2 linked regions of the Lytechinus pictus genome follow. The protein of the gene in region 1 purifies or fractionates together with the protein of each later gene. This does not show direct contact. Links are inferred from orthologs where the notes say so. Each region holds a gene or a part of one and is shown in the gene's direction. Other genes may lie near its edges. The genes, in order: PHD finger protein 12-like and GATA zinc finger domain-containing protein 1-like.

What was found.
Region 2: the proteins of PHD finger protein 12-like (region 1) and GATA zinc finger domain-containing protein 1-like purify together in Homo sapiens (affinity purification with mass spectrometry; 7 studies listed by BioGRID and IntAct, with this or other methods). This does not show direct contact. The link is inferred for Lytechinus pictus from reciprocal best matches to the Homo sapiens genes PHF12 and GATAD1.

Annotation. Positions count from the first base shown.
Region 1 is NC_087246.1:12,130,564-12,146,902, forward strand, and holds the start of PHD finger protein 12-like, read left to right. Parts: upstream 1-9,977; 5' UTR 9,978-11,472; intron 11,473-13,129; 5' UTR 13,130-13,294; coding exon 13,295-13,344; intron 13,345-14,035; coding exon 14,036-14,304; intron 14,305-14,652; coding exon 14,653-14,764; intron 14,765-16,339.
Region 2 is NC_087247.1:57,321,617-57,338,312, forward strand, and holds the start of GATA zinc finger domain-containing protein 1-like, read left to right. Parts: upstream 1-8,768; 5' UTR 8,769-8,868; coding exon 8,869-9,258; intron 9,259-16,696. Other genes in the region: TRAF3-interacting protein 1-like, read left to right, coding at 972-1,052, 2,093-2,210, 2,828-2,932, 3,343-3,566, 4,020-4,179. UniProt on the Homo sapiens protein: Component of some chromatin complex recruited to chromatin sites methylated 'Lys-4' of histone H3 (H3K4me), with a preference for trimethylated form (H3K4me3).

The DNA of each region.
Region 1 (16,339 bases):
TAGCCTATTATGCTTGGCACAGCTTTGTCCCGGAGCATTGTCCACTCAGTTATTTTGATGTGCAGCAAATGTGTAAGAGCAGTATTTTTTTTCTTTTAAGATCCATTTTGGACTCAATGTAAGAGCATAGTGTCCATCCACAAATTGGTGCTCTAAGAAAGTTTGATCGCCGACGCCGTATGGTAATGCTTTTATTATATTTTTACCCACATGGCTATGAATTTGATTTCGCGCATTTTGTGGAAGTCATTGCTTTTGCACATGCGCATTACTGATCAACGAGCTGAGCATGCGCAGTTGTGCGCCACCATCGGGCTAGCTCTCGATATGTAAATTTCTGTCCGGCAAAGTTACTGTGTGGGCTGTATTTCTTTTCGAGGATTTCTTCTCATTGAAGCTGCTTCTTTTATTGGAATTTTCTTATTCGATAGCTGTATATAATATATATGCATGTGCGTGATTTAGAGAAAATTCATGCTTTCGATTCTTCAGAATCAGAGTTTCCATCAACCTTCATCACTCGACCCGAACATGTAATTCGGTGCACCTCCACAGTGCGATAACTACGGCAGCGGCGACTTGTGGGGATGTGTTACCGTGCATTACCACACGGGGACGGAGATTTTGTTGGAAATAAGTGATTCGTTTGCATCTTGTTTCTCGAAATTCCTTTCAAGTAACTGACACGCAGACCAAATCACAAGATGGCTACGACTGTCCAGTATGACCTGGATACGTCTGGAGGCCTCATGATGGTAAGTGAAATTCAATTTTTGCCTTTGAAAAACTTGTTTGTGACTCGAATTCGATTTGACAGATGTTCTCGTTTACTTATGCACAGCCACGCAACGCGTGCGAACAACAAAATCTGCTTGCTGTGCCATCCATTGCACACAGAACTCGTTATTTTTTCTTTCAAAATGGCGACGCAACGTACCACCAGGAAAGGGAGCTCATTGCTGTGTGTCTTGCACATTCTATCTTCATCACATTTAACTTGTTAATAACTGTTTCCATGTCATATTTACAGCAAATTCAGGCTTTGGTTGCTCCTCCACAAAGTGATGAGCCTCCAAGAAAGTACAGAAGAACAGAACCAAGAAGAACAGGAAGAGCAACCAATAGAGATTCCTGTGATAGCTGCACAGAGGGAGGAGATCTTATTTGCTGTGACCGTTGCCCTGCATCTTTTCACCTCCAGTGCTGGTAAATTTTATTTCTTAAGTCAGACATAGACAAAAAATTAAAAAGCCCCTGAGAATTTCTAAAATAGAATTAGGCCTAGATCTAATGTTACTCTAGTAGATTAGAATTAGATTCTAGACATTAATAATACTAATACTCTAGAACAACATTACTCATTAGATTAGTCTACTTGCAATTGATTTTCAACCAAATTTGTCTGAACTGAAGATTTGAAAAGTCTTTTGATTTTTTTTTTGCTCCAGTCTTGGTCAGAGTAGAATCTACAGATCAATTGAAAGTAAAAAAATTTTGCTCATTATTCTGTTGATCAGGGTGAAACTAAGGACTGGTATTTGAATGAAATCAAATACTGATGCTACAACTATATACTTGCCTTCTGCTATATAAATTTCTATTGACATAATGACAATGTAGAATTGGATTTCAATATAATTTAAAGGTAAGTCCATGAAATAAAACTTTAATATTTGTGGCATTCTAAATTATAATGCTCAATTCTCAATAAAAGGGAATTCTGAGCAAAAGAGATCTTGGTTATACGTTATGGCACAAGAACATGCGTTGTGTCCTCTGAAATATTTCTTTGATTTGTACATTCAACAGAACACTTGATATTTTTTCTCTATTTTGGTAATTTCTGTACTGGTTAAAATTTGGAATCTACCAGTTGAAAAAACTAAGAACATACAAGTACAATTAGAGTACACCAAATGGGTATTGATTTCAAGCTAACATTTGAAAATCTTGATACAGGAGTGATAATGAATAGACTTCCGTTCTCAATCCCAATATGGTGTTACAGTAAAGGAAAACTACTTATGCTGAAAGTATCATAGTACTGTACACATGTACTTTGATAAAGATAAAATACTTGAAAAAATGTTTGAATAGATGATTTATACCCATTGAAAAGAGTCATATTAATCATGCATGGCAATGTATTTCAACCAATTTCTATTATGCTTATCTAGTGTCATGGATATTTTAATCAAATTAGTTCTATTGAATTCACTTCCTTTTTTTTTTACAGAATCCGATTTGTAGTCAAAATAAGTGATATGTAAGAAGTGGGTGGGAAAGAGGAAATAAGTGGAAAGAAAATCTTGTCTTTTTCTTTCTTGGCCTATAATTCTCTAATCCATTCAAGTGATTCAATACAGACATGCATTGTTAACATGTATGTCACATGACGTATGGATGGCTCAGTTAACATACTTGTTTGAAATCAACCAAATTTTTCATAATCCATTCAGTCTTTATCTTTTTCAACAATTTTTTTCCAGCTAAACTTAAATTGTTCATAGACCTAGATCTGCTAATAGGACTATAACCTCTCCCTCCCTTTCCACTCCCTCCAAAAATCTTGAAGGTGGGATAGAATTGGTATTGGCTTAAAATGACATAGAAATGTTATGCATGTTCAGTAAAAAAATGAATAAATTGATAGAAATGCAAAAGAACATTAAATGCATGAATTACTCTTGATATGGTATCTTCATGTTTTACTTTTAATAATGATTTAAGTAGGACTGAAAATCGCACTGAAATTCACAGTTACATTTCAGATCATGCCCATAGGCTTAGGATTAGGATAGGATGTTCAATATCACATGCACATTTGCATCTAAGCATGACCTTTAGGCCTATATTTCACACTGAAATACACCCCCAAAACTAGGATCAGCAACTTTATTACACTTGAATTCAGATGCACTGTGTGTCTTACTTTGACTTGACAAAGTAGACTTAATAGGAGCTAATGGAGTGTCCGTATACACATCTACATGTAAGCTGCAGGTCTATAATTGGAAAGTTATGCATACACTCAAACTAGTATATAGTGTACATGTGAGCACTAAATGTATGTTACATGTGGGCAATTCCACATACATGTATGGGCTTTGCACTTCAGACAGGTGAATGCACCACACTTTGAATTAACAGTATTCAAACAGAACTTTTTGCTGTTCACCTATAAATGTACATGCAACTGAATATTAAATGTGTCTGATGAACTCAACAAGAAATGTTTGAATTCTGTAAATTTGAAAAGGTGAACTGAATGTCATTCCCTCAAGCTGGAATTTTTCCTTTTGCTTTTTACATACATGTACTAGTGCCATGTACAGTATATAAATACATGTACAGTATCTTGCTGTTTAGAGCTGTATTTAAGTGAATTTTTTAATTAGTGATTTCACCTCTTTTCATAGGCTACATGTACCGGAAGCTGGAGAGTTGCTTTCCTACTGACATTAAAATGTTTGTGATGCTACATGTACATGTAAGGCTTGCAAAGTTTTGATGATAAAGCACTATGAAATCGTGCTGTTAGGGACCATTGTAAATCAAGTCTCCATCATCGCCAGATTGGCAGGGGTTTGTTTGTAAACTTCATGAATTTGTGAACTATCAGCAGTGCAGTATGTAGCAACAATAACGGTCCAACTTGTTGACGCTGTGACTGTGAAACGAAAGGACATGTACCTCAGGATCAGTTTAGTGGACTTGTCTAAGCTAGCAACTGAACTTCGTCTTTAAAAACCCATCGAGCTATTATGTTTCATGTTACATAGATCCATGTGAGCATCTACTTAAAAAGGCTACAACTTTTTGATGGGGTATGCTTAAAAGCAGGAAAACACTCTAATGACGTTGTGGTTGCTGAAGTACACATCTATGTATATTACAAAATTTGATATTTGGATATATCTGTCAAATTTGTGTGTAAATATACTATGTACAGTATGACAGAAATTTTGATACCAATTGGGTTGCTGTATATTTTTTAAATATACATATATTATATTAAAGAAGGCCCCCACATTTATGATTAACCTTCCATTCTTATGGTGACTGGTGCTAAATTGCCAAAGACTCATGGAGTCTAGATGGAGATTATTATTTTCATTTTTGAAATGCAGGATTGTCAATGATATCTGAACAAGTATAAAACTCAAATGTGAGTTGAGTCAAGCTCGTAAATCTGGCACTTTATTTTTATTTAGGCCTTCATGCAGAGGGAAGGTAAATCGCACTAGGCTCAGTTGTGGACTCATCAGCCTAGGTACTAAAAGATAGTGCAATGTGATAATATTTACAACGCTTCATTTCTTTAATATTTCTTAAAATTTATTTTTCCCTTTGATGTCTCCACCTGAGCTGTGAAGCTACATGTAATACTGATACATGTACATGTAGTGCATATGCATGTGAGAAATGAGCAAAGGCATTTTGATTTTAGACACTGCTTTCGTTCAGTCTTGTCTGCCAAGTTTCAGCATTGTAGAGCTAGCCACCTGTCTGTATAGATTATACCACTGGGCCATTTCATGGCGAGTGGGTACATGATGTAGTGAAAGACATGCGGTTTGACTTTATATTAAGTTAAGAATTGTCAGGAGTCTTCAATTCAAGACCTAATGTTAAAGAAAATGTCTGTCCTAGGAGCTACATGTATATTTGGATTCTGCTTTGTATGAGTGAGATTTCCTTTGAAGTTTGTCTGTGTCATACAGATATTTTTTCTTTTGTAGCAATAATGTTTGATGTTAGTTTATGACATTGTAGGTACATGTAATGTAGATTAATATGCTTTTTAACTGAAAGATACAGACTGCTAACAATCTCCAATGTCAATTAAAATGTGCATCTATGACCATGGCCTTTGATGGCTTGTGATAGATTTGAGCATTGGGAATAACAATTTGTATTGAACCCAATTGAAATGTTTGAGGGTTATTTTGCAATTGACAAGGATTTTCTTTTATATCACCGGTATAAGGGTATAGTGAGTTACTTGTTTTCAAATGCAGAAAAGAATCATAACCTTTTTCATAAGGATCACTATGACTATCCATACACTGTGCCTACATGTACATGGAGCTCAGCATACTTCATGCATTGTAATTTTATTTTGATGTTCATTTCTTGACCTATCACTCATGGAACATTCTGCAATCCACAGGCATGCACTTATGTACACAACAGTAAATTTAGGCCTAAAGTGTACATGGATTGCTTCCCTGTGATGAAATGTAAAGAGTGAACTCAAGTCCAATTATGTAGGGGAAATGGGTGTCAGCCTGGCTGACTAGTATTTTATCATTCCCTCCGAAAGTGGACAAACTGGGGTACATGTAGTTGGATTGATCAATGGGTAATGCTATGTATGTACGGTCAAAATTGAGCATTATTAAGAATCTTATCTCAAAATCAGTTGCTCTAGCTGCATTTACCCAAGAGTTACAGCAGGTACAGCATGAATCGTTATTAATATGCATCCATCTAAGATTGTTTTCAATTTATAATCAAACAAATTGTTTGTTAATCGGCCCACTTTATATGTATTGCATAGGGTTTCATGAGTTCACAATTTTTTGAAATGGCCAGATCCTCCAGACAAGATAATGTTTGTTAGCTTGGTTGAAAGTTGTTGACATGAAGAAAAGAGAAGGCAAAATACATGTAATTGAGTACATGTACATACCTGTAGAAGTCTCATTTGATAAAGATAAATCCTTTGTATTTCACCATTATGCATGTAAGTATGTAGTGTGTAATTTCTCTTTCAACAACTGAAAATAAATGACCAATGCACAGTGAAAATTTTATCAGAATTAACATGGTACATGTAGAAATAATACATGTATCACTTTAGCATGGTTATGGTATGAATTGTGTCTGACAAATTTTACACAGAAATTGAGCTCAGTTTGCCTGAAACTGTACTAGCAGACACCTGCACACATGCTAGAAATGTTTGTACATGAATTATACAGGCCAAGAGACTAAACATTTACCAGGGAGGGATTCATTCTCAAACTGAGCATCAAGTATACCGATTCATTGACAGCACTACTGTCACCACATAATGTCCTATGTGTTGAATTGACTCTGTCTTTAGAGTAGATTATCTTACTGTGAATTTGGGGTAAATCCAGGGCTCTATAGGGGGGGGGGGGGTTACAGTGTAATATTGGCACCATAAATTTTCAATATCTTTAATATATAAGGGCCCTTTTAACTTTTTTTTCTTTGGTGTTGTGTTTTTATGTTCCCCAGGTAGAAAATGTGATGGATTTTATATCCATACATTTATTTAAAGCATCCATCATTTTTAAAGTTCATTACATCTGGCTTCTTCACTTGTATAAATATCTAGCCTTTAAGACGTACTTTTAGGCATACTCAGTAGTAATGTGCTTATACCAGTTTATGATATCATACGTAGATAAATGCAAACAAAACATGACAGTCATTAATTAAACATTAGGTCTATCATTACATGTAATTTGGTATTTGATGACTGAGCAATGCAGATAATCATATATGATGAGGCTTGTGAATCAATTGAAATATAGGTGAATGTTGTTGTTTCTTGTTCAATGATAGCAAATAGTATGGTGGGTACATGTACATGTAGTTTCAAAGATATTAAAGGCTCAAGTTAACGTTACAGACATGTAATTAAAAAAAAACAAAGGAGAGATCAAATATGTACATAGATGCCTTTCTATCAATCTAAAAACTCTGAAACCAACAAAAAATCTAAAGAAATGCTTTTGATACCTTATAATAAAAGATTTTTTGTGTAATTTATATCGTACCGATAATAATAGAACACATAAGTGTATGTGATGAAATTAAGATGGTGTTTCCGGTCACTTTATGTTTCACTTTTTTTGAAGCACTAAATGATTATTTTCGGACACAATTTTTTTCTGAGCTTCATTGTTGTAACATATCACAGTCAGACACAGGTGAAAAGTGGGACCTTTAAATACATAAAAAATTGATGCATTCCACCTGTTCGGGGGGGGGGGGGTGATCCAAAGGACCTGTTTTATCCTTCCCTATTTTGCTGGTAAGTACTCTTCACTATTGAAATCAACAGTAGACCTACATGTACATGTATTCCCTTATGTACATATATAGGCAATAAAGATTAAAATATAAAGTTTAGCCATGTTTAACAGGCATTAGCATGTATTTACAACAGTGTTATGTACAGTATATCAGCTTGAGTGATAAAAGTGCATACTAAAATTTGAATGAGTGTCATGCAATATGTCTAGTTGTGTGCCACAACTTTGAATCTCACTGCAAGATAATACCCAGCTTACCAGCGATGTACATCATGCTGAACAACTTGGAGGCTCGTCATCATACTGGATGTATGAATGGGTAGTCAGCAACATTTCCCTTGGAGAAGGGATGTCTATCGGTCTTAATCAACAATCTATTCCTCCTGCCAGCTCAAAATTCTTTTTATATTAGAAATGGAAAAGGATTATTTTGACTGTAGTAATTGAGGCTTTAAACCGTCAGTGACTCAGCGAACGATATAAGTTGCACTGGGAAAAGGATCTACATGTATGTGGCTTTGAGAGGAAGTTCTGCTGTTAGTAGACTGACTCCAGTCTTCTTTTGCTACTTGAAGCACCAGAGTTTTAAAGAATTGATGGGTATGTGGTTGACAGGGGAGAGGGGAGTTTTTCCCCCTTCATCTTCTTCTTCAGGGCTAGGATAGAAAGTGCAGATCCATTGATGAATTCAATGAGTTTGAGGATAATTACTTGTCTGTTTTTAATGATTTTCTTATTCAAACTTGTTATGTTTTCTCTGAGGCTACCATACTTCTGTAATTGTATTTGAATCTTTTGAATTGTTGGTTATTTTACCAGAGCCCAGGGTGCTACATAACTTTTAGAAGCACTTGCCCTGTTGGGCAAGTAAATTTTTAAATAGTTGGAGTATACTTGCCCAAAGAAATCCTTGAAAGAAAAAAGTGTTACCTCTTCAAAAGAAAGTATTGCGGTTTTATAAACCATTGACCTTTTTTTCTCTTTTGACATGAACTGATGTACCCTGTTATTGCATTTCTTTTTCCATAGTGATTTTAATACCCGTCATGATCAAATTTAGGGTCAATAAATCGTATCGACCCTTAGTTTGGTCATTCTACTCTGAGAATTTTGCTTGCCCAATTCAGGCAAGTGGTGTTGGTCTTCACTTCAAAACACTTGCCTGACTCTTAACTTTTACTTGCCCCGGGCAATCAGGCAAGTGCTTATGTAGCACCCTGCATAGCCAAATGATTATTAATATAACAATTATTTCCCCAAAAGCAAGGAAAGGAGGAAAAATTTGAAAGTAATTAATCTGTGTTTCTGGAATGAAAAATGTAGTGTAGGGTGGCATGATTTTGTATTGCATTCAGATCAGGGGAGCGTTTCATGAAAGGACTTGTCAACGTTTTATCCGACAAGTCCCATTTTATCCGACAGTTACCATAGTAAAAGTACCTCTCAGCCAATCAACATCAGAGAAAGATGTCAGATCTGACAACTTGTCGGATGAAAATGTTATTGAAACACTCCGCAGAACTCAAAAAAATCTTGTCAGTTTTTGTCTCACCTGCATATCAGAGTAAGACTAGGTGCCGCATTCCGACGGCGGCAGCATCAATATAATTAAAAAGTATATGGACCTAGTTCATGAAACTTGGACACAAGGGTGATCAAATATTACTGAACATCTTACCCGAGTTTCAAGTCACATGACTAAGGTCAAAGGTCATTTAGGGTCAAAGAACTTTGGCTAAGTTGGGGTATTTGCTGAATTATCATCATAACTTTGAAAGTTTATGGATCTGATTCATAAAACTTGGACCTAAGAGTAATCAAGTATCACTAAACATCTTGTGCGAGTTTCAGGTCACATGACCAAGGTCAAAGGTCATTAAGGTCAATGAACTTTGGCCATGTTGGAGGTAATTATTAAATTGCTGTCATAACTTTCAAAGTTTATGGATATAGTTTATGAATTGTGGACATAGGGGTAATCAAGTATCACTGACAAGTCTTAGGTCACATGGTCAAGGTCAAATGTCATTTAGGGTCAATGAATGTAGTATTGTGTCAACATCAAAACTTAACCGAAGGTTAAGTTTATTGAATGACAGCATAACTTAGAAAGTATATGGACCTAGTTCATGAAACCTGGACATAAGGTTAATCAAGTATTACTAAATATCCTGTCCGAGTTTCAGGTCACATGACTAAAGTCAAAGGTCATTTAGGGTCAATAAACTAAGACCATGTTGGGGGAGTCAAAATCTATAAGGTTAAGTTTTTGAAATGTCATCATAACTTAAAAAGTATATGAACTTAGTTCATGAAACCTGGACATATGGGTAATCAAGTATTACTGAACATCCTGTGCGAGTTTCAGGTCATATGACCAGGTCAAAGGTCATTTAGGGTCAATGAACTTTGGCCAAGTTGGGGGTATTTGTTGAATTACCATCATAACTTTGAAAGTTTATGGATCTGATTCATAGCACTTACACGTAAGAGTAATCAAGTATCATTATACATTCTGTGCAAGTTTCAGGTAAACATGACCAAGGTCAAAGGCCATTTAAGGTCAATGAACTTTGGCCATGTTGGAGGTAATTATTAAATTGCTGTCATAACTTTCAAAGTTTATGGATATAGTTTATGAATTGTGGACATAAGGGATAATCAAGTATCACTGACAAGTCTTAGGTCACATGATCAAGGTCAAATGCCATTTAGGGTCAATGATCCTAGTATTGTATCATTATATGAACTATGTTTTTTGTGAATAATTATTTATAGTAGTTTTCAAAGTCAGCATAGCTGCTATATTGAATCGTGTAATGCAAGTGAGACTGCCAGAGTCGCTCCACTTGTCTCTGATTTGAAACTGCAAATCTAGTGCTTAATCATATTTTGCTGTAAAATGATTCTGCAATAAAATTATTCATTCTCTCTTTTTGTTGGTGGTCACCTTTGTCAAGTGATGTTCCCCTTTAACACATTTATTTGCATTTGTTTATCTACTGGACAAAAACACTTTAATGGTCTGCATTTGTACCTTTATTAACAATGATGTACATGTATACTAGTCAGTAGTTATGTACAATGTACATGTATTTTACCTTGTTTTGATGTAGATAATTTTGAAGAGTGTCCTGACTTTTCTTGATGACAATAACACAGAAAACATTGAACATGAATCATACTGTACATGCACTGTATGTACCAAACTTGCACAATGTAATGCAGCATTGGTCTATTGTGCAGTTTTGAGCTGAGTACATTTTCAGTGGATATTACAGAAGGTCATTTGGAGCTTTAGCAGGGTCAATGATATTGTTAGCCTTGTACAACCAGTCTTTCGGTCAGATTCTATTTCATATAGTCATATTTCATATATTTCATATATATTTCATGCATGTTTCATGAACATTTATCCTCAAAGTTTGCTGAATTGTTGTTTACCAGACTTTATAAAAAACATTTACATATACAGAATACAATAGGCAAAAGATGAAAGACAGACGTGGAATACTTTTTATAGACCTAAAGAAGTCCTCTTTGCTGTTATGATGTCTGTAGGGCCTATACTTTTACACGATCTCCTCTGAGGCAATCAAACTTAGTTTATTATTATTCCATTTGGGGGGAAATTGCATAAATTTTTGTTTCACATACATGTAATCTGTTGAAGTCCTATTCAAGCGCCAGCTTTTACTTTCTCACTTGAAGCAAAGTCCCTTCACTCTCCTAAATATTTTTGTAATATGAGCATTGAGCAGCTATATTTAATAAACTATTTCATACAGAAGTATTTGGATGTTGACAATTATATTATTAATTTACATTTATTTTCTGCTCTATGAAGTGTTGAACAGTCTTCAAAATGTATTGAATATTGCTCTTACAATGTTTGATCATTTTCTTTTCTATAAATTGAACTTAAAACTATATGATTTTGAAAAAAAAGAAGTCTTCCTCTTGACATTAATGTAGAGAGTTTGACATAATGCATGCATTATTATGGTACTCTGAAAGCCAGTACTTCATGCAAGGCCTTGTGATCAGTTCTTGTATTATGAAGGTTTTTTTCTTTTTGCACAACAGTTTATCCTTGTACCCCATTTGTGAAAGTGAATTTTAAATGAACATAACAGGACTTGCATTGCCATTGAATTATTTATATTTAATTTTCATATCCTGGAAAATCAGTGTTTTATTAAACCTGTGTAATTATAGATTTACTTGAAGAGGATCTTGGAAATCTGTACAAATCACATTAATGGTGAATTTGTTACATTTGCTAACTAATAGGTAAGGATTCTCTCTCCATTTCTCTTCCTACAGTAACCCTCCTATATCAGAAGAGGATCTACCCTCAGGAGAATGGTTGTGTCACAGATGCACAGTAGCACCGCAGGTAAGATTGAATATCATGGAACAAACCATTTTGCATTTATGGGGGTGTGGTATGCTGGGAGCTGAGTTGAGATAGGAAGCTTTCCTTGAAGCATCTTGTCATTTTTCAGTGACAAATTTTCTCTCACCCTATCAGATTTGAAAATGTTAAAAGCTAAATTTGTTAGTGTACATGTAAATCAGTGAAAAATTTTATGAAAAACTTGTCTTGGCATGACCATTTATCATTGCATGACATATGTGCATTCAATTATGTTAAACTCCTTTGGATGCCATGGTGAAAAGTAGAGGTTTCCTCCCAAAGGTTAAAGCTTGTGTTTCTCAGTACAGTTACAGTACACATTCTCCTATATTCCCTTTATAATCTAATAGTTACAATGGAGAAATATAGATCATTTGAATTAGGGCAGTACTATATCTCTGCTACGTTCATCCATTTCTATTTGATGGTGAACTCAACCTAGATACAGTAAAGGGAAATCAATTACTTTTTCTGGTCTACTATAGTAGTAATTGTAGCAAACTATGCAATGTGAATTACATGAAACAGATCCTTAGGTGGACATATGATTGTGATAAATTATGCATTCACTGTTGACAAAGCAAGAAATGTCAAAGATCATTCTGTCTTACTATTTTTCAATTTGGTCTCTTGTTTCACTGGAAATTCTCTACAAATTTCTGATGAATAATGAAATAGTGTAAATATCAGGCATTCTGAGCGGCTTTCATACAGACTCATCAGAAAAGGAAGTTTTTACTCTGCTACAGGTTAACCTACTTTTAATATTAGATGTTTGAACAAACATTTCATTGTTAACCCATAATTTTTGTGGGATTTCATTTCGAGGTTTTGTATTTGTGATGTCCTTTGTGAGCTGCTCTCTTTTTATGGCACATACATGAAATTGTTTTTTTTAATGATTTATTTTCGCAAATACATTTAGACTTGCAAGTCCAGGTAGTTGATAGCTACATGTACTCATTCCAATCATTTGAAGGACATGGAATATATAATGTTTGTATAGATTTCTGTTAGAATAGATTAACTGACATTAAAATTGTCAAGTATTTGTTACAAAGACGGTTACTCAACGAAAGTGACCATGATCCTATATGTAGTACTTGTATATGAACCTATCCCTTCAGGGTAAGGGGACAGGGAAATATTGAGCCTTATTTGGAGACTATCCATGGGGTATTGAAACTCGTACCTTTTAGAAATTAAAGGTCAATAGAATCAAAAGAACTTGCCTCTAGAATAGGTGACCTTTTCATGAATTTTTTTTTTTTAATTTAACATATGGCTTCATTCTTTTTTTTCTCTCTCTCTCTGCACCCCTCTCTCTTTGAAATTAATTATGTATTGTCAACTACCATAGCACAATGCAACTTTTAGGGAATAGGTGCAGAAGATTATTACACGTTTATCTATATTCTGGAGCCTCAAGATTGAACCTTTATTTTCAGCTCAGTCTTAACTTTAGCTCAATGTTAACTGTAACCTTAATTCTAATCTTGTTCTTACCCTACTCCTAATGCTTGCTTCTGGTACCAAGTATACTTGTCAATGTGGTGACTGCCATAATAGCTACTTAAAGGTTTTCTCAGGTACATCATTGAGTTGACTTCATTGCTTTCTTCCTTTTACCATGAAGCCATTGAACACTGAGGTCACACTCTCTGACACTATCAAGTCTATTGAGAAGGCGCAACGCTCTGAGAGAGAGAAGAAGCAGAAGGAGGTTGCTGCTGCTGCCAAGGAGAAGGAGAGAGCTGCCTCCACCTCCCTCCGGCTGAATGATCGACTGAACGACAGACTCATGAGAGAAGGAAGGGCATGTTTGCGGCTGGCTCAGATCCAGGCCTACAAGTAAGCCTTCATTACCATAATTCACAAATGAGTTTTAGCCTACGAAACCCTCTCCTTGTTTTATCCGAGCATAGTGTGAATTGCCCATGTGCGCACATACATGAAATATCTGATTGGATCATATGCAGTGTGTGAGTATGCATACAAAACTGAAGTTGGGGTATGAACCTCCTTTGTGAATTTTGGTCAGAAGAGAATTGGATGAAAATTTGTATGTCCTAGTTTCATTTGTAAATGGTCATATCCATTAATTTCCTTATTCCTTGAAGTAAGGCATCCACAAAATCGCCCTTTTGTTGAATTTAATTATAAGATTGGGTAAAGGATAAATGAATAAGATTAAAAATTATAATTCAATATCACAAAGCCAACAGTCCTGTATGGAATTCTGTAATGCAGGCAAGACTCCCAGAGGCGTTGCTTTTTTTAATATATTTATTTTCATTATTACATTTTTCTATTCCATAACTCTTTTTAAAAAAGATCAAATTAACCGGTAATTATTTTCAGTCCGTAATTTGTAGTGAGAACATATTTCTTTATGTGAAAGATGGATAATTTGAGGCTGCATTGTATTTCCAGTAAATCCAGTCAACTTAATGGCAACCCCCAGTGCTCCAATCTATTTTGAATTATCATTTTGTCAAAAGGTAGAATTCATTCTCTGATATATGATTTACTCTTTCTCCAGGGAGGCACAGATAGAGGCTGGGATAATACCAAAGGAAATGCCAGAAGAGGGAGATACCAATCGGACGGAGGGAACAGAAGAAGAAAAGATGGATGTTGACAAGGCAAAGGATTTAGTGGAGGTGGCTGAAGAAAAGAAAGACAAGGAGGAAGAGGAGGTTTATGTCAGGTTTGAGAATCCTCTAAGCTACCTCATCAAAGCTGTAGCCATTCAGAATCCGAAGCAGTTCTCTCTCCCTCCAGAGATGATGCAACATGCACCCCTACCAGGTAATTTGGGATGGCCCCTCTGTCATTTCATATTGTACAATACATTGAATGTGAGATTGTCTAAAGATTAATAAAAAACAAAACAGTATTCAAATCAAAACCTAGTTTCCTTTTTTAGAGGGAGGGGGGGGGGGAATAAAAAAAGCCCATCTATAGCTACTGATAATGTCTGAAAATTCAGGAGCCCTTTAAAAAATCCATTATTTGTCCTTATTCCTAGGCTTTACAAGTTGCAAGTTCCTGAGAGAAATACTGTAATTAATGTGCAAATTTTCTTTTGTAAAACTATATCACATACAGTGTATTCTCAGCTCTCCTTGTCATGATTTTATTTCTTTTTATGCTCAGGGACAACTAAGAAGAAGAAAAAAGAGGAACTATCCAAGAACTACAAGAAGCCTCATGAGCTAGATAATATGATGATCCCCCTACCTGCTAAAGTCTGCTTCACATGTAACAAGTAAGTTCTACTTGGTAAAAGCAGCAAAAATTGTATTGGTCTTTTTTTTAATTTACAGTGAGTGGTATAATTATGACGGATGTGGCCTATTCTTAATTTCATGTCAATTTTAGCTTTTCATATGCCATCTGTTTAAACATCTGGATTTAAATTGATTTAATTTTGAGATCTGAACATAAATCTTACCATAAAATCTTTCTTTTATTTAATATCCCTACCAGAGGCAATATATGCAAATGGTAACTGAAATGTCTTGCTTTACTTTTTCTTTTCTACTCTTTTTTCTATTCTCTCTCTCTTACACCCTCACTCTCTTGGCGCACACACTCTTTCTGTCTTTCTCTCTGTATCTCTTCACTACTCTGCCTGTCTCTGTCATTGTTAACTCTACACGATATTCTTAATATTTCATCTTAGACTTCCAAAGTAGTTTTGTTCTTAACAGAATCAAGTTTTGTGTGCAATGCAAAGTTGGCATTTATTCAGATAAAGACTTGCTGGTTTACTGCTTTGGGAGAGTTACATGTAAATGAAAACAAACAAATCATTTCCTGAATACCAGGTCATGGAAGTAGGGTTGTTCAAAGCAGTTCACACTCATGCAAAATTACGGTTCAGATGATGGTCATGATGAGTGTAAACATTGTATGCTTTGAAAAATAACCAATGTTGGCTCTTAGATACCTTATAACCGAAACATCATTTTGTCTCATCAATGAAGTGCTCACAAACCAACACTTAAAACTTTTTTTTTTTGGTACTTACATGTATTCTAATCTTGCTTGTGTTTTATGTAATGTGTGCTAGAGATCATGCCATGGCAGTTTACTTCTCACATGTACATTCTATGTACTTGATTCAAAATTCAAAATTAGTGTTTGTTTAAATGTACCTTGGTAATTTTGGGGAAAATGCTGATGAGCCGACCCTGGCTTGGCTTCTTTGGAAATAAATTTTCTACATGTATCATGAAAACATAAAAGAATTTATATTGTAATATTTGTGTAAGAATTCATAAACTGAGTATTTGTGTTAGTTTGAATAAAAGTAAGCTGTGGTTTGCCCAAAGCAGGAAGGATGTACATGCTTGTCTAACTTTTTCAGTGTCATGCAAGAAAGTCCCTATTACTATGTACTATCAAAATCAGTTGAGACCTTCTAATGGGAACCGTACCACTTGTCAGATGAAATAACAACCTGACTACTCTATTACTGGAAAAGATTTACATGTACTTTTACTGACTTTGTTGAAGCTTGTTGTGAATATGTATGATTAGATTGCCATTTTATGCCATCCTTGTACCAAAAAAAAAATGATTAAGGCACATGAAACCTAGCATTCCATAGAAGTATGCTCTACATTTTCACTTTAATCTGGACCTACATCTGGATTCACTCATCAGAATACCACCTTTATTTGTTTCATTAACTCATAATCCTATTGAAATGACAACTCTGTATATTCTTTATTTAATGATTTTGTTGTTGGATGCCTGTAAGAGTGTATGAAAACGTTTATTTCCTATGACTGTATGATATTTCTACATCAATTTCTTTCAAGATGACATTGATACA
Region 2 (16,696 bases), on another chromosome or scaffold:
TTATCCACATGGAATATTTTACAACATATTTCTACAAGGTTCAAGGTTGATGATTCTCATTTTGAGTTCTGAGCAGATAGAATCTCCATTTGTGACAATAATCACTCCTGATTTACTTGCCATGCTTGATAGGAGCTCATCAGTTAAAATTTGAAGAGCTCCTGCTTGTTATTGCTATGTTTAAGAAACTGCTGCCATTTTTTTTTGCGATATGACTTTTTTGCCGAGATATAGTCATCCAGATGAAGATATTGAAGGCAGAAATGGGTGATTTTTCATGACTTGAGAAATTGTCCAGACATCTATCTCTTGATTGTGGTGATTTTTTTACCTGATTGCTAAGAAAGCATGAATGCTTGTAGGCAAGCAACCAGAAGACCGACGGCTTAAGGTCCTCTTCGAAGGACCTGGTAATGAGGATTAATGCCTTACCAAAGGGCACTAGCGCACCAAGTGGGAATCGAACCCGGGTCACCGGAATACGAATCCTCCGCTCTACCGACTGAGCTATCGCGCCTCTTGTCTGGCATGATAAAAAAGCCTGTCTAATGAATCACGTTTAACTAGATCTTTGTGTTTGTTGGTTTGCAGACTTTTTTAGCCTGGTAGTTGAACTGTGTTACCTTTATTCTTGGTAAAAAGAGTTCTTATTACCTTTTATTTCTTAGTCATTTCATGATACCAAATATTTCTACATCATCAAATTTCATGAAGAAGTTATTGGTGATTATAACTTAGTTTTCATTTGACTCTTATGTTCCCATTTCTCTTATGTTTGCCATTTAAATTTATTTTTTTAAAGGGGAATGAATCCTTTTCAAAATCTGCAAATTTCATATGAATATCTTGTGGTTGCATATGAAGAATGAAGGATTCTGTTTCGGTTGGACCAAAATGCATAGTCTCTTTGTCACTTAAACATGACATTGATGCTGAACAAGTTACAAATCTAGATCTTTTTGTAATTATAGTCGAAGGATGGCCCGTCCCAGCAGTGCAAGACCTGCCCCTCCAAAGCTCAAGAAACAAGATTCTACTGAAGATACTTCAAGGTGAGATATTATAATAATAATAATGCTAGAGTTCTTAATTTGCATAACACCTACCGTTCTGTATGCATGGGGAAAGCGAGAAATGTGGTTAGAATTGTAAATTTAAAAATCAGACATCAAATAATTATTCATAACATCAAAAAATATTAAACATGGATTGAACCTACATGTAACTAAGTTAAACATTCTGAAAGAGGTGGGTTTTTAACTGTACTTTGAATTTCTCAAGCTGGGTAATATTTCGTAAAGTCGGTGGTAGAGAATTCCATTGTGCTGGTGCAGCTTTTTGGAAAGCCCGATCCCCATATGATTTGGTCTTGACAGTAATTTCAGAGAGAAGATTTTGTGAGCCAGAATGGAGATTTCGCTTGGGTTTATGAATTTGGACAAGTTCTTGAAGATAGCAGGGGCAATACCATGAATACATTTGAATGTTAATATGAGAAGTTTATATTTCATCCTTGATTGAATGGGAAGCCAATGAAGGTCAGATAAGATAGGGGTTGTGTTCAAACTTTCCTTTTTGAGTTATAAGTTGCAGCAGAATTTTGGAAATGTTGTAATTTATCAAGAAGTGATTCCTGTATTCCGAATAGTAAACTATTATTATTATCTAAGTGACTTAAGATGAAGGTATGTACTAACTTTTCTGTTTTCCTATCAAGATATTTTCTCATTTTCCCAATTATTCATGGTTGCATTTCAAATCAGACATTTGTTTATATGTCTGTGAGAGAAGAAAAACTTGTTATTTCAAAATATGTATATGATTGTACATATTTCTATCACCCAAACTGCATATACTGACTGCAGTTGACATATTTGTCTTTGTTCTTTTCAGTATATCCAAATTGTATATATTTAAAGAAATGAACTTAATTTTGATAGTGATAATGGGGCACTACTTTCCTCATATTGATTTATTAGTATTTTTTAATTAATGACAGGTTTATATTATCAGTAATTATATGTAATAAAAATTATCAAGATATCTATAACTTCTGTATTTTTGCTCTTTTGTCATTCTTCTCTTTGTACAGGATCGGAAGTGGTAAGCAGGTATCTAATGTGATTGTTGATAATGGTCATAATTCAGATGATGAAGATGACATATTTGTAGTAGAGGATACTCAGCAATCTATGGAAGATGAGCCAAGGGTAAGATATTTTATTCATGATTGAAATCTACATCTGTTTTACACCACAAAAATCCATCTTATTGACAGAAAGCTAACTGGTCAGAGAGGGAGAGAGAAAAAACTTTTAAGATACTTAATGGAATCTCCCCCCCCCCATTGCTCAAATATGCAAGCTTTCTGATTAAAAAGACAGTCAATGTATTAGATGGTTTGGATTATGCTTTGTTGCTGTATTATTATTATTTTTTTCATGACTAGCTGAACTGTCTTATATTGCATTGATAAAGTATATACAGCATTGTTGATTTTTATTCATGATTGATAATCTAAATTCTGGTCTAAGGTTCTGTTTTTAAGTTGAACTATTCAACTATGAATAGCCAATTGTGGCACATCTCTATCAGTACTGGTTCAATCTATCAATTCACTGTACACTAAAATCAAAACTTTCTCGGAAATTTTCTTCATAATTTTAGTATCAAGAAACAAAAAAGCAAAGATAATGAATATACAATGTAAGCAAAATATTGATGTTTTCAGCTTCTTATGATTTTTGCACAGAGTTAGACCATGGTCTAAATTAAACCAAAATAAGGGTCCTTGTGTGATAACAAATGTGATATGATTTTGTTGCAGCCCCAAGCAAGTGAGTCTATGGAAGATGATGGTGAACATGGAGGCCTTGTTAAGAAGATCTTAGAAACCAAGAAAGAGCTTGAAGGATCACAAAATAAGGAAGATGTAAGTTACTATGTTCTTCTTTAATCAGTTTATTAAAAGCATGGGAATTCATATATTAATGTTATTTTAAACAAGGTGAAGCATGCAAACGTGAAGTTCAAATTATCTTAAACTTTAAATCTCACATCTTGCCATTTAAATGTCTTTATTTGGAAATATAATTTGAAAACAAGCAAGTAATTTGATATTACCATCTTTAATATGTAGGTTGTGATTGAGAATGTTTAACATCCTCTTTAGATGATATATCATTTTTGTTGTAGCTTTTAATGAACATTTTATCTGTTATGTAATTGCGTATGGACAGAATTAGTTTTCAGTCAAAGTTTGTGACAGCATTACATCTTGTTGTTATGATTGCGATAGTGAAACTGATGTATCTACATGTATGTGTTTTGTTTTGATCACAGGATAAGCCTGTGGTGTTGGATCCTGCCAGACGTAAAGAACGTGAGCTAGTCCAGCGTGAAGTAGAGAAGCTCCGCAGTGCTATACAGACCTTGACCCGAAGTGCCAATCCTCTAGGAAAGATCATGGACTATCTCCAGGAAGATGTAGATAGCATGCAGAAGGAACTGGAGATGTGGCAGAGAGAGAATAAAGAACATGGTCTAGCAATCAAACGTGAACAGGGGTAAGAACCTTGCTATCATGTTTATAGGGAGTTTGGTAACCGAAGGTTCAAATGCTGTTATCACAGCCACAGTACACTCTTCCATTATGTTAACATACATGTTCCCAATGTTCACATTGTGTCAGTATTTTTATGTGAAATTACATTTAACAACGAAATAGTCAATATGAATTTCCAAAGAAATTTCAGGTGATTGATATCAGTCATTTTTGTTGATTATTATTCTGCTGCAAGAGCACTGCATGGTCTAGGAGATGTGTCATGCAAACTAACTTGCCCAACTGATCACTGCTAGTAAGTGCACTACTGTAAAATTTTCTCAGATAGAATAGCACCCATAATTTATGTGTGCACTATTATAGTAGAAACCTGGAAAATACTTAATTGCCCCATACATTTTCTTTGTTAATTTCTATAACTTCTGTATGTATTTATGGATATATTCTTTAACAGGATTACAGACAATGAGTTAGAACCTCTTCAAGCCCAGCTAGCCCAGCTTGACCAAGCAATAGATGACCAAGTAGACACCATTGCTGCAGTCAAAGCAAATATCCTGAGGAATGAGGAAAAGATAGGAAAGATGGTTAATAGTATAGCATTTACAAGATGAGTCATTTCAGTCATACCAACTTCTCAATCAAGCATATTTAATTTTATCATTTTGAATATAAGATTTAATCTACAATTCATCTTAATATACTTCAAGTTATTGTTCCTTAATTTGACCACTTATCACCTGACCATGGATGAAGTTTTTTTTTTCCATTGGGTTGACTAAGTTATTTTTCATTCATACTGAATCATCCCATGGCCCTTGATTGATACAATCACAATCATTTGCATGTAAGCTAGTGGTCAAGAATAAAGTTCATGTAAAGCTACTTCCATATAATAATAAAGTCAAATGATACAGCTAGGTATGGTAACCACATTCACTTCAATTTCTGGAGATGCTAGTAGCTACTAGCAAACTCCAGAAATGGCACTTTAATGTCATATCAAGTGTTAGCTGAAGAAAGAGTCCATAGCATTTTTACAACCATTTTGAAATCAAGCAAACTTTTTTTCTCATCTTAATGCATTCAGTCTGCATATAACTCAATTGAGTTAATGTTAAAATACAGTATTCAGAGAATTTTGCTGAAACATCCCACCACGAATCCCAATTGTGTCATGATTGATGGCCATCTATGATACTGCAGATCTTTACCCTGGAGTTTGACAGGATAGAATAAGCCAAGTACTCTCATTGTGATTGTCATTGGAGATTATCAAAATCACTGAATATCATTTCAAATGCCATTGAGAAGCATAAAGTGCTATGTTATTGTAAAATATATATGTTATTGTCTGGTGTAATATATTTCTCACATGAATAGTTTTTTATATGTATATTTCTTAAGAATATATTAATGGATCTTACCACAATGAATATTTAAGTGCACTAAAGTCTGCCAGGTTTTGTCTCCATTAATATAGGTGATTTTGTCAGCTTTGTTTACATGATTTGAAAAAAAGAAGTTTCCTTGTCAAATTTAGCATCATGATCAGCTGCTTTGCATGACAACAATTCTGTTAGTACAATGTACAGTGCATGTAAGAACTATTTTCAAAAGCATCTCGTATAACTAATATGGTGAAGTTTACAAACAAAATATAATTATCTTTAAGATCTTGTAAAATTCACTTTCGAGTGTAATTTGCATTCTTAGACCATTTCAAAAATAGGGGAATAAAAAGAATTTGCTTTTTTCATTTCTTATCGGAATACATTTGTGTGTGTGTGTGATTATTTAAATGTAATGATTGTTTACAGAATATTTGTTATTGTATTACAGAATAATAACAAGACATACTATCGTAGTTTTTTGCTTGATAATCAAACTGGCCTTCTACATATGTTTGTAATGAAGGAAGATTTTATCAAGGATTTCTTTCCTATTTTCTTCTGTAAAACAATTGCTCAAAATTGAAAAAATACTGATGGTCGTGTTAATGGACTTAAAATGGTACAATTGCAATGAAATAATAGAATGGCTTAACATAAAAGGTATCCGGTTTTAGTTTCTCAACAGAGTAGGCAAACAAGATTTTTGTTAGTTAAAATGTAAAACAGATTATGAATAGATGTATAAGTAATTGTCATTGTCACAAAAATCTATTGTGAATTATCATTCAAACTGGTCAATGTGTTAATATTGGGTCATTGATGCACCTAGGAGTACATATATATTATAGTACTGTTGGTGGTCACATGGTTAAGTCAAAGGTCATTTTAGGTCATACATTAGTTTACCTTGGAAAACTTTCTGAATTTTATTCGCTGATTACATTATAGTTGAGGGGACTATGAATTTTCAGAAGTAGGCAAGACACAGTGTAGCTAATGTTTGGTTTTGAAAGAGAATTTTACAATATGACTGACATCACATTTATTACCGTCCTTGATAAATGCCTGGGTTCTAAAAAATTAATTTGAAAAACAATACAAATAATATAGAGTGAGCATTGCATGTTGAAACCGATAATCAATATTTTCTTGGGTCTGTTGCGTAAAAGAAAAACTCTGGCAAACTTTTTGCCCAGAGTTTTTAATGTGTAAGTTTCAATGGCATAATTTTGTTTGCCAGAGTTTTTTTTTAATGGCGAAAGTTTTATGCTACTTCACAATTCATGTAAGTTGTAAGGTATACTCTTTGTATTGAATTTCACTCCTTGAATATTTAAAACATTCATGAAGCATAGTACATGCAATGATAAGCTTAATATTAGCATGTTGGTACGATTCATTATACTTGTACAAAGTCAGTTGTAGTACTCATTAACCTCTGTTCAGCCAACCATATTAAAAGCTTGTGATTATATGGGAATGATCACACTATTTACGTTTTATATGAGCTTTATCACCTTGAGGGTTATGTAGTGTGATGTTGAGATTACATGTATATTTCACATCTCCTGGTTTCATTCATTGTAATCACTTTTAGATCCTTTCACTGTATGAGATTGTGCAGTCAAGTGTGATTTGTCATTAAAAGTTGTCACATCTACTTTTATTTAATTGTAAAGGAATTTGGTTGTCGTTGATCCATAGGTTTCCCTGTATGCTAATGTATGAAGCATGTTTGACTGAAACACAACTCTTTGGTATCACTTTTTTATGATTAAGGTTGAAACATTCCACTCTCCCTCCATATGGGATTTATGTTCACATGTCTGTTGATTGATATACATAAAAATTATGTTAGAGCTTATTTATAACATGATGAAGTTATTCCCAGGTAATGCTACAAAAGTAGAAAAGTTCCTACAAAAAGTTCCTACTTCTGTATGCTAGAACTTGTAATTGTGAAATTTATTATCAATATTTAAGTGGATTTTGTTGTAGAAACTGGATTACTATTATTATTTACATGGATTAAATGCTAATCTCTTCAATATTACTACAAGAAGAAAGTTGAATAATGTGCTACCTAGCAGTGACTTCAGAATGTTCTGATCAGGCAAAGCGTGGGAGGCCAGGGCGACCCATTGTGTGTAAACAATGGTTTGAACCCTGCCCCGCCCGGACCATGCCCATCTCTTGTCTGAGCTGAAGGTTCCAGCTGCTACCTTGGAATAATTGCTGACATCGCACGATGTACTTCCTGATGGGTTATTAAGATTTCATATTCGGCAGAAACTCACAAACTGGTTTATTTACTAAGTGATACAAATGAAAGCAGTCAAACTCAAAATAAGTTTCTTTAAATGTATCTTTATTGAACTGTAATATCTGAAGAAAAACTTATTTTCTCTGTGTATATACTGTGAATACTTTCAAAACTGTAGATATATTATAGCTGATAATAAAGTGAATTGTGTCTTGTGTGAATATAGCTATTTTGATTTTTGCTTCATATCAAGTTTCCTTGTGTGTATTTTGATCATTTAAGAATTGAGAACTAAATTAATGAAATATACCAATCTAATAAGTAATTTACAAAACAGAAAAATATATATTTATAAAAGTTCCACCAAAGTGCTTTCACTTGTTTTTTCTGGAGTCCAAGAAAGGACATGTCTCTTTGAGGCATGTAAATCTTCTACAAACTTTTATACTTTTTTAGCATTAGGGGCATGCTTAGAGAATCTAAAGCTGCAAAAAAGTAAAAGGATATAACAACCATAGATGTTATTGTAACAAAGAAAGTACTCTCTCTGTGTATAAAGAAAGTGATATAATTGTCATTAATTTTATACAATTGTTTTAAGCTTTTAATATTAGTTATGTAGTGTTGAGTGAGAGTAGAAAAATGGGAGATTCGTTGAGGAATAAGCCTTGTTGCATTTGAAGGAGTGTATGCTTTCTACTCCTTGTGCGATGTTATTTAATTTATTTTTCTCAGCACTCTGTCTCTCTCATTACAAATACTAAATCATTCCTATCGTTTCCTCCCCCATATTATTTTCATATTTGGTCTGACATTGCCTTTGTCATGATGTTTTACTTTACATTCTGCATTTTATATCTTTTAAACCACATTTATATGTTTCATGCATCGCCTTTGTATTTTGTGCTCGAAGTTACAGCCATTTGGCTGCCACAGGTGCAATACTGATTTAAAAGGAATTCTACCCACCCCCAAAAAAAGTTTGAACAAAAGGAGAGATATCAAACTGTCATAATACTGCAAATTTCATATTAAAAAAAGGGTTGTTCTTTAAGACAGTTTATTTTTTAGATAACTGTTGTGTGCAAAAATGCAGTCATATGCAAATGAGTCATCAATCTTTTATTGGGAAACCCTTTAATTGCAACTAAGGGAACAATAACATCACCCACTCACTATTTTTTTCAAATTTTGAAGAAATAGTGAGTGGGTGATGTCATTGTTCCCTTAGTTGCATGCCAACCAGGATGAACATATTACTAATTTTGTTGTCTCATTTTTACATCTCAAATTTGATGACATTTTCTCAATTATAAGCTTGTGTTGACTTTTCACTTTATTCAAATAAACTTTAGTTTCTAAAAAATGAAGAAAAAAACCCAAAAGATTCAGCCAACAGCACGTATCTGATTTTTCTTCGTTACTGTGAAGTAGCTATGAAAGAGTTACACAAATTATAGCTTGATCAAAAGACGGGGAGGGGAAATTATGGGTGACAATAAAATGCATATGCCGTAAGGGGCGCTAAGCGACTGATCGTTTCGACGGAGTTTGGTCGCAGAAATAATTCGTTGAGTTTGGTCAATCCTGCAGGCGAGCCCGGACCGGTCCCATCTGTACATTTCTGCGTACAGTACACATTCTGAATGCGAAGTGAGCCGAGTCTGCATGCCTACCGTACATACGGTCTACACTCAATCAAAAGAGACAAAATGTCACTTGGACCTAAAACATACTGCTCTTCCTGCAAGACGTCGGTGACATGTATGTGGAGGAAAAAGAAGTCGGGCTCAGTAATCTGTAATGGTTGTTATGTAAAGAATAACAATAGCGACGATTCTCAGAATAATTCTTCAGCAAATGGCAATGGAAACGGCCACGGGAAATCGAGTGGAAATGGAGCTGGAGGAGGAAAAAGCCAAGGAGGAAGGAAGTCGGGAAGGCCGGCCAAGAGGATGCGTTACAAGCAGATCGTCAATGCGGCAAAATCTCAGTCAACTAAAGGAAAGAATAGGCGAATCATATTCAAGAGAAATGTAAGCAAACACTCAGTTACATAGTCATGATAGGATGGGGGGTTGGGTGTCCGGACACGTAACAGAAATGAAGCCTTGTTTTTATCTCAGGAATAAACCAAAAATATAGGTTGAATAGTTTTTTTTCACCATCAATATTTGTTCTTTACAATATTTTCTTATATTCTGTGCTAAAAAGAATTAAAGACATTGCTTGTAAACTTTTCAAAATTGAGAGTAAAAGTCATGTGTCCGGACACCCAACCCGTCCGGACACACAACCACTGGGTATACTAGTCTTATTAATAATGCGCCGGTACCATATCCATCATAAAAAGATGCTCATGGCGCAATAAAGTCAAAAGAAAGTAAAGCCTTAAGGAAAAAGAAAAAGAAAGGAAGATAGAAAACCTGAGGGGGCGACTAATTAATTACCTAGTAAAACTAAAAGCTTGTGTGAATAACCAGGTTTTCAGAGAACTTTTGAAAGTGGTGAGATAAAAAACATTCACATTGCCATGATTGCCGATTTCTTTTGGAAGTTTTATTCCATAGCCATAGGAATGGCCCAGCATGTTGAAATGATCGATCCCCCCCATTAATTATGAGATTGTGGTACAGCAAGTAAGGATGAACTAGAAGACTTACCTGTACATGTAATGTAAGGTTGCGAGAGGGATTGTAAGGAGTAGTAAATCAAGGAAGAGTTGTATTGTGGTGCAGTTCCGTGTATTGAATGGAAAACAAGTAGGAGCATTTAAAAGTTATGCGCTGTATGATGGGGTGACCATAATTTGCGCACATTTTGAAAATTATCATGAAGTTGATTTTCAATCAATAGTTTCTCACAGCTCACACAAACTTAATCAAAACCATTAATACCAAACGGAAGGCAAGATCCCAAAGTCCAATTCGCTTGACGGAATTATAAAGTAGGTCAACGGTTTCGCTGGTATCACGATCTCAAAATTCCATCGCGATCGACTAGTAGTATCCCGTAATTAGTAACCAACTGGAATAAAATTATTGGAAATGGTTTTTTGACTGATTTGAGTAGGTATGGGTGTCAACATTTACCAAAAAAAAGTTAGAAGGAATATGGGTTGGGGAAAGTGCTTTTTTTCAAGGTCAAAGGTCAATGACCTTTTTAAATATACTGTATCATGGTATCTCCCAGATAAAATATTACAGGTTGGTGATCATGGTGTCAAAATGCACAGATTCGTACAAGAAGATCAAATAAAATAAAATCAAGTACCTACAATGCTCATTCACCCATGAAATTCAAGGTCAAAGCCCTTCAAAGTTCAATGACCTTTATTACATTATATACCATATACGGTATAATGGTATCTCTGAGATGAAAAGGTGTAGGTTGGTGATCTAGGTGTCAAAATGCAGAGGTTCTTACAGGAAGATCAAATAAAATCAAATTAATTACCAGAATGCACATTAAACAATAAATTTCAAGGTCAAAGCCTTTCAAAGGTCAATGACCTTTTTTCTACATCATATACCATATACGGTATAATGCTATCTCTCAGATGAAAAGGCGCAGGTTGGTGATCTTGGTGTCAAAATGCACAGATTCTTACAAGAAGATCAAATGAAATCAAATCAAGTACCTACAATGCTCATTCACCAAATGAATGAAATTCAAGGTCAAAGCTTTCAAAGCTCAATGACTTTTTTTTACATTGTATACCATACGGTATAATGGTATCTCTGACATGAAAAGGTGCAGGTTGGTGATCTTGGTGTCAAAATGCAGAGGTTCTTACAGGAAGATCAAATAAAATAGAATTAATTACCCAGAATGCATATTAAACTATAAAATTCAAGGTAAAAGCCTTTCAAAGGTCAATGACCTTTTTTACATTATGTATCACACTGTATAATAGTATCTCTGAGATGAAACGGCACAGGTTGGTGATCGTTGTATCAAAATTCCCAGATTCTTACAGGAAGGTCAAATAAGATAAAATTAATCACCTAGAATGCATACTAACCCATAAAGTTCAAGGTCAAAGGTCAGTGACCTTTTTACATAGGCTATATATCGTATAAAGGTATCTCTGAGATAAAACGCTGCATGTTGGTGATTTTGATGTCAAAAAGCAATTTTTGCAAGAAGATAAAAAAGACTCAAAATAATCCAATATCCAAAGTCAAAGGTCAAAAGTTGATAAATATTTATATATCCATGCATGATTCCCCCAAAAAAGAAATTTATCCATTATATTCACATTTTATTTGTGAATAATAGAAAGAAAGATAACTATTTGTAATGAACACTTGGAAGTCTAATAATTTCACTCTGAAAGAAATAAGGATAAAAAATGGCCATGGAAAATATATTTAGGAGTTAAAGGTCAATCAACTATGTCAATAGCGTCAGGGAATTTAAGTAAATAGGTCGATATAACGTGATTGTGGCATGTAGGTATAGTGATTCTGATGGGAAAAAGACTGACCTGCGTGGAAAAAGAACACAAATTTAATAGTTGAATCCTTGACCAATGATGATGTCAAAATACAAGTTCGAGGTAAAATTTGATCAAATAGCACTTTTTCTTATAATATACTGTAATGCATTGACAAAAGTGTAAAAAAAATAATGTGTGATATAATTTGAAATGGTGACAATGGTGAAGTTACCTAAAGTAGCAGCATTTAGATATGCATTCTATAAATCTAAATCAAGGTACTAATTTCTCTGTAGCAATAGGTCACTAACCTCAAATGCTACAATCAATACTATAACGCTATAACTTAATCTGTAAATGGAAAGGATAGGCCTAAGTCTTATGGCAAGCATCATCCGAGAACATTTTCATATAGCCAGGGACAATGACGAAGAATTAAAATAAGGCAATCATTAGAGCTGCAGCTTTTTTGTCATAGATGAAGTTAAGTGTCTCAACTTCAGCAAAGAGTAATTGAACTCTTGAAAACCTTCTGACATTTTCAAGACTTTGATCTGGCCCATTCAATGAAAGCCTAACGTTCTGTCAAGGGATATCAGACCAGGATCTATATTATTACTGATAATTGCACAGCTTGATTCTCAAGAACTGGAAGTGGTGCTGTAGGAGTTTTGTTAGGTCGATGGATGTGTACTTGTAAGCTATCATCTCCTTTTGAACTTCATTGTTATATGCCTAATTTGTGCATGATAATAATCAGTTGTTCTGGACCAAAACATGATCCTTGTACAAACTGATACCTAGTAGAAATAGCATCATGGGTGACGTACGGCAGAGAGCAGATATGAAGTTTTGTCTTGCAGCATTAGCATCACAAGAGATTCTGCCAGCTCGCAATGAACTGATGAAAGGTACTAATAATAAGGGAATTCACCTTTGTTGAAGTTGATATATATATAATTTACTACATGTATATGACAGAAGCTGCAGCTCTAATGATGGCCTTCATTTCATCATCATCATCATCCCTCTGCTGTTTGGAAATGCTCTCAGATGATGCTAGCTGTGACATGAGAGTTAGACCTGTCCTATCCATTTTCAGAAGATTAAGCTAATAGTTTATAGTATTTATTATAGCATTGAGGTGAGTGGCCTATCGCTGGAGAGAAAAGACACGACAACCTTGATTTAGATATAATGATGCATTAAATGCTGCTACTTAAGATAAAAATCATTTCAAATTATATACTTGATTTCATTTATTTTTTCAGTGCTTTTGGCAATGCATCGCAGTATATGAAAAAGTGTTATTTGGTTATCAACTTTTTTAACTTAATTTCCACTGATATTTTGGAAAGGGCTCATTGACCTCTGACCCCTAAATACATTCTCCATGGCCTTCATTATTTCAGACCGAAATTATGAAACCTCCATGTTTTCATTACAAATTAGCCATGGTTATTAACATTATTCAGATATAAAATATGAACACAAAAGATATTGTTTTTGGTTAATTTTATATCATATAGATTATATATTTCCTCTGATCTAGGATTTCAAGGGTGAAAGTTTATTCTTTATACTTATTTTAGTGTTGTTTAATCTTCTTGTACAAGTCTTTTGATTTTGGCACCAAGATCACCATTCTGCGGTGTTTTATCTCAGAGATACCATTATTATTATTATCTAATGTTAAAAAGGACATTGACCTTTGTCCTTGAATTTTATGGGTGAATGTGCATTCTCGATGCTTAATTTTATTTTATCTTCCTGTAAGAATATGCGTGTTTTGACACAAAGAACACCAACCTGCACCGTTTTATCTTAGAGATACAATTATATAATATGGTATATGTAGTATAAAAGGTCATTGACCTTTGGCCTTAAATTTTATGCGTGAATGTGCATTCTAGGTACTTAATTTTATTCCATTTGATCTTCTGGTAAGAATCTGTGCATTTTGACACCATGATCACCAACCTGTGCTTTTTCATCGCAGGGATACCATTATACAGTATGGTATATAATGTAAATAGGTCATTGACCTTTGAAAAGCTTTGACCTTGAATTTTATTGGTGAATGTGCATTCTAGGTACTTAAGTTTATTTTATTTGATCTTCTTGTAAGAATCTGTACATTTTGACAACATGATCACCAGCATGTACCTTATCATCTCAGAGATACCATTATACGGTATGGTATATAATGTAAAAAAGGTCATTGACCTTTTGAAAGGCTTTGACCTTGAATTTGATAGGTGAATGTGCATTCTAGGTCATTAATTTTATTCTATTTGATATTCTGGTAAGAATTTGTGCATTTGGACACCATTATCACCAACCTGCGCCTTTCCATCTCAGAGATACCATTATACAGTATGTACGAAAAGGTCATTGACCTTTGACCTTGAAAAAAAGCACTTTCCCCAACCCGTATTCCTCCTAACTTTTTTTTGGTAAATGTTGACACCCATACCTACTCAAATCAGTCAAAAAACCATTTCCAATAATTTTATTCCAGATTGGCTCTTTTGGGGTCTAATTTAGGGATACTATAGTGCGCGCTCGGCTGAAAAAGTGTCATAAAAAAGTGTGACCTTAATTTGCGCACAATTGTTTTGCAAGGATTTAGAAAAGAAATCAAGCAGACAAAGGTAAGATAATTATATCAGATGGAGGTTAAAATGCCATGAATTCGGTTGGTACCACATTTTACTTATTTGGAGAGCTCTGCTTGCAAACTGGCGATTACTTGATGCTTGTCGAGAAGATCGAATTTTCTCGGAGCGGACGCAAAACGGTGACAAAATTTGCCGATGTTTTGCCAATATTTTCACAAATAGAGACCTTACCTTCAAGAAAATTACCATTCTACGTAATTTGAAGTCGCTCTTTCTGTTGGTGATATCAGTTTTTCAAGATATTAATTATAAATTGAGATATTCAACCGTGCGCAAAATTAGGTAACGCGCGAATTAAGGTCACACCACCATACAACAGCCAACAGGTAACCAGTGAAGGACTAGTATAGGGGTTATGACCTCTTTAGTCTTGGGGGACATGGTGACTTTACGGGCAGCATTATGTCGGAGTTTCCCAAGGCGATCTAACTGAGATTGTGAAACATGCTAAATCATTGCAAAAATCAAGACGGGATGTAATAAGTGCTTAAAAATGAAAAGATTTGAAAAAGTAATTAGGCTAGCATTGGCTAGTTAAAGTCAAATTTAAAAAAAGCTCCACTAGCCACACAGATAATTTCTTATAAGTTATAGATCTAGGTCTAATGTTAGACTCTAGACCTTAATATCGCAAATAGTTTTACGCAAAGGATCATGGGATAAAAAAGGGAGCAATAGCGCCGCTATTGTTCAGATGCGACCATGCGAATGTTAGCAGCCGACAATATTGTGATTTGTGTACGATTTCCATAGCGCATCAAAATACGATTGACACCTGCAGCCAACATTTTGCTTCAAGTAAACGCCTCGTCATGTCAGAGTCCAACATCACTTTTCTTGATTATGGGTGGCAGAGATAGATGTGCTGTCTATTTTAGCTGCAAGAATTACCACAGATTTCACGAAGACTAGTGCAATTTTATTTCATTTTGCGCACTGTCTGTGCATATTTTGAGCTGTGCAGCTGTGATTGCACTGTGCAAAGTGCGCTTGCACGGACTGCGGGCACTCTCTGCCCAGGGACAGTGTACGCCTGTGAGGTGGAGCTGGAGGAAAGTCCTGGAATTCCAAGGAAAATAATCAAATGAATGAAATGATGATCAATAAAGCATATCTGCAGTAGATTTGATTTCTTTATTTTGTATATCAATCGATTGTCAAGAATACATGTTTTATGAATAATTGTCTCTAGCATGATTTTATTCAGATAACGTAACTATGTTTTCTTTTTCTCTCCACTGATACATAATTATTGCATACATGTACAGTAATTTAGGATCATGGCTGGACATTCTGAAGTTATATTAGTGGCCTGGCCCCAATATTTTATAATAAGTACTGCAAAGACAAAATAATGATAATTTTTACCCTTTTTACACAGGATTTTCTTAACCCCGGACTATCGCTAACCCCGTACTATCCTTAACCCCGTACTATTTTTTTTCCTTTTTACACATGCCAAATTGTTATTGCTAACCCCGGATAAGGAATGCTTGCTTTTCACACACGAAACTCGCTAACCCCGGACTAGTGGTTTTTGTCGATCATTCGTAGTACAAGTACTTCACTCGTACCATTTTACACACGCTACAATTTCCTTAACCCCGTACTATAGGTGGGGCCAAATTGCCATTTAGCCCCACCTATAGTACGGGGTTAAGCTTAGCCCACTTTCGTTTTACACTAGCGATCTTAACCCCGTACTATCGCTCTTAGCACCGCAATTGCTGGGATAACCCTGCTTTTTTGCAGGGCCAAATAATCCCGTACTAAAGGTGGGGTTAGCCCACTTTGCAAAAATGCTGTGTAAAAAGAAAGTGGGCTAAGCTTAACCCCGTACTATAGGTGGGGCTAAATGGCAATTTAGCCCCACCTATAGTACGGGGTTAAGGAAATTTTAGCGTGTGTAAAAAGGGTATTAGATAGAAAAATGTGAGAAAAGATGAAAGAATGATGAGAGAAAAAAAAAGTAAAAAAAAATGAAATGAGTAAGGTGATATGTGAGGGATGTAATTAGTGACTGAATGCACTGGCAGATCCAGGGGGGGGGGGTGGGGCACAACTGGCCTGTGCCCACCCCCCCCCCCTTTTGAGAGGCACAATTGAAATTTGTATAATGTAAAAATGCTGTTTAAACAGAAGTATGCCCCCCCCTTTTAAAAGTGAAGGCCTTTTTTGGGCCTGTCAAACTTTCCTGGATGAAATACCCTTAACTTTTTGTTGAACCCTTTTTTTTTGCTTGTCAAATTTTTCCTCGGGGAAAATGTGCCACCCCCCTTTTGAAAATTCCTGGATCCGCCCCTGACTGAATGAAAAATTAATTGAAGATGTAACTTGTGAAATAATTTGTTT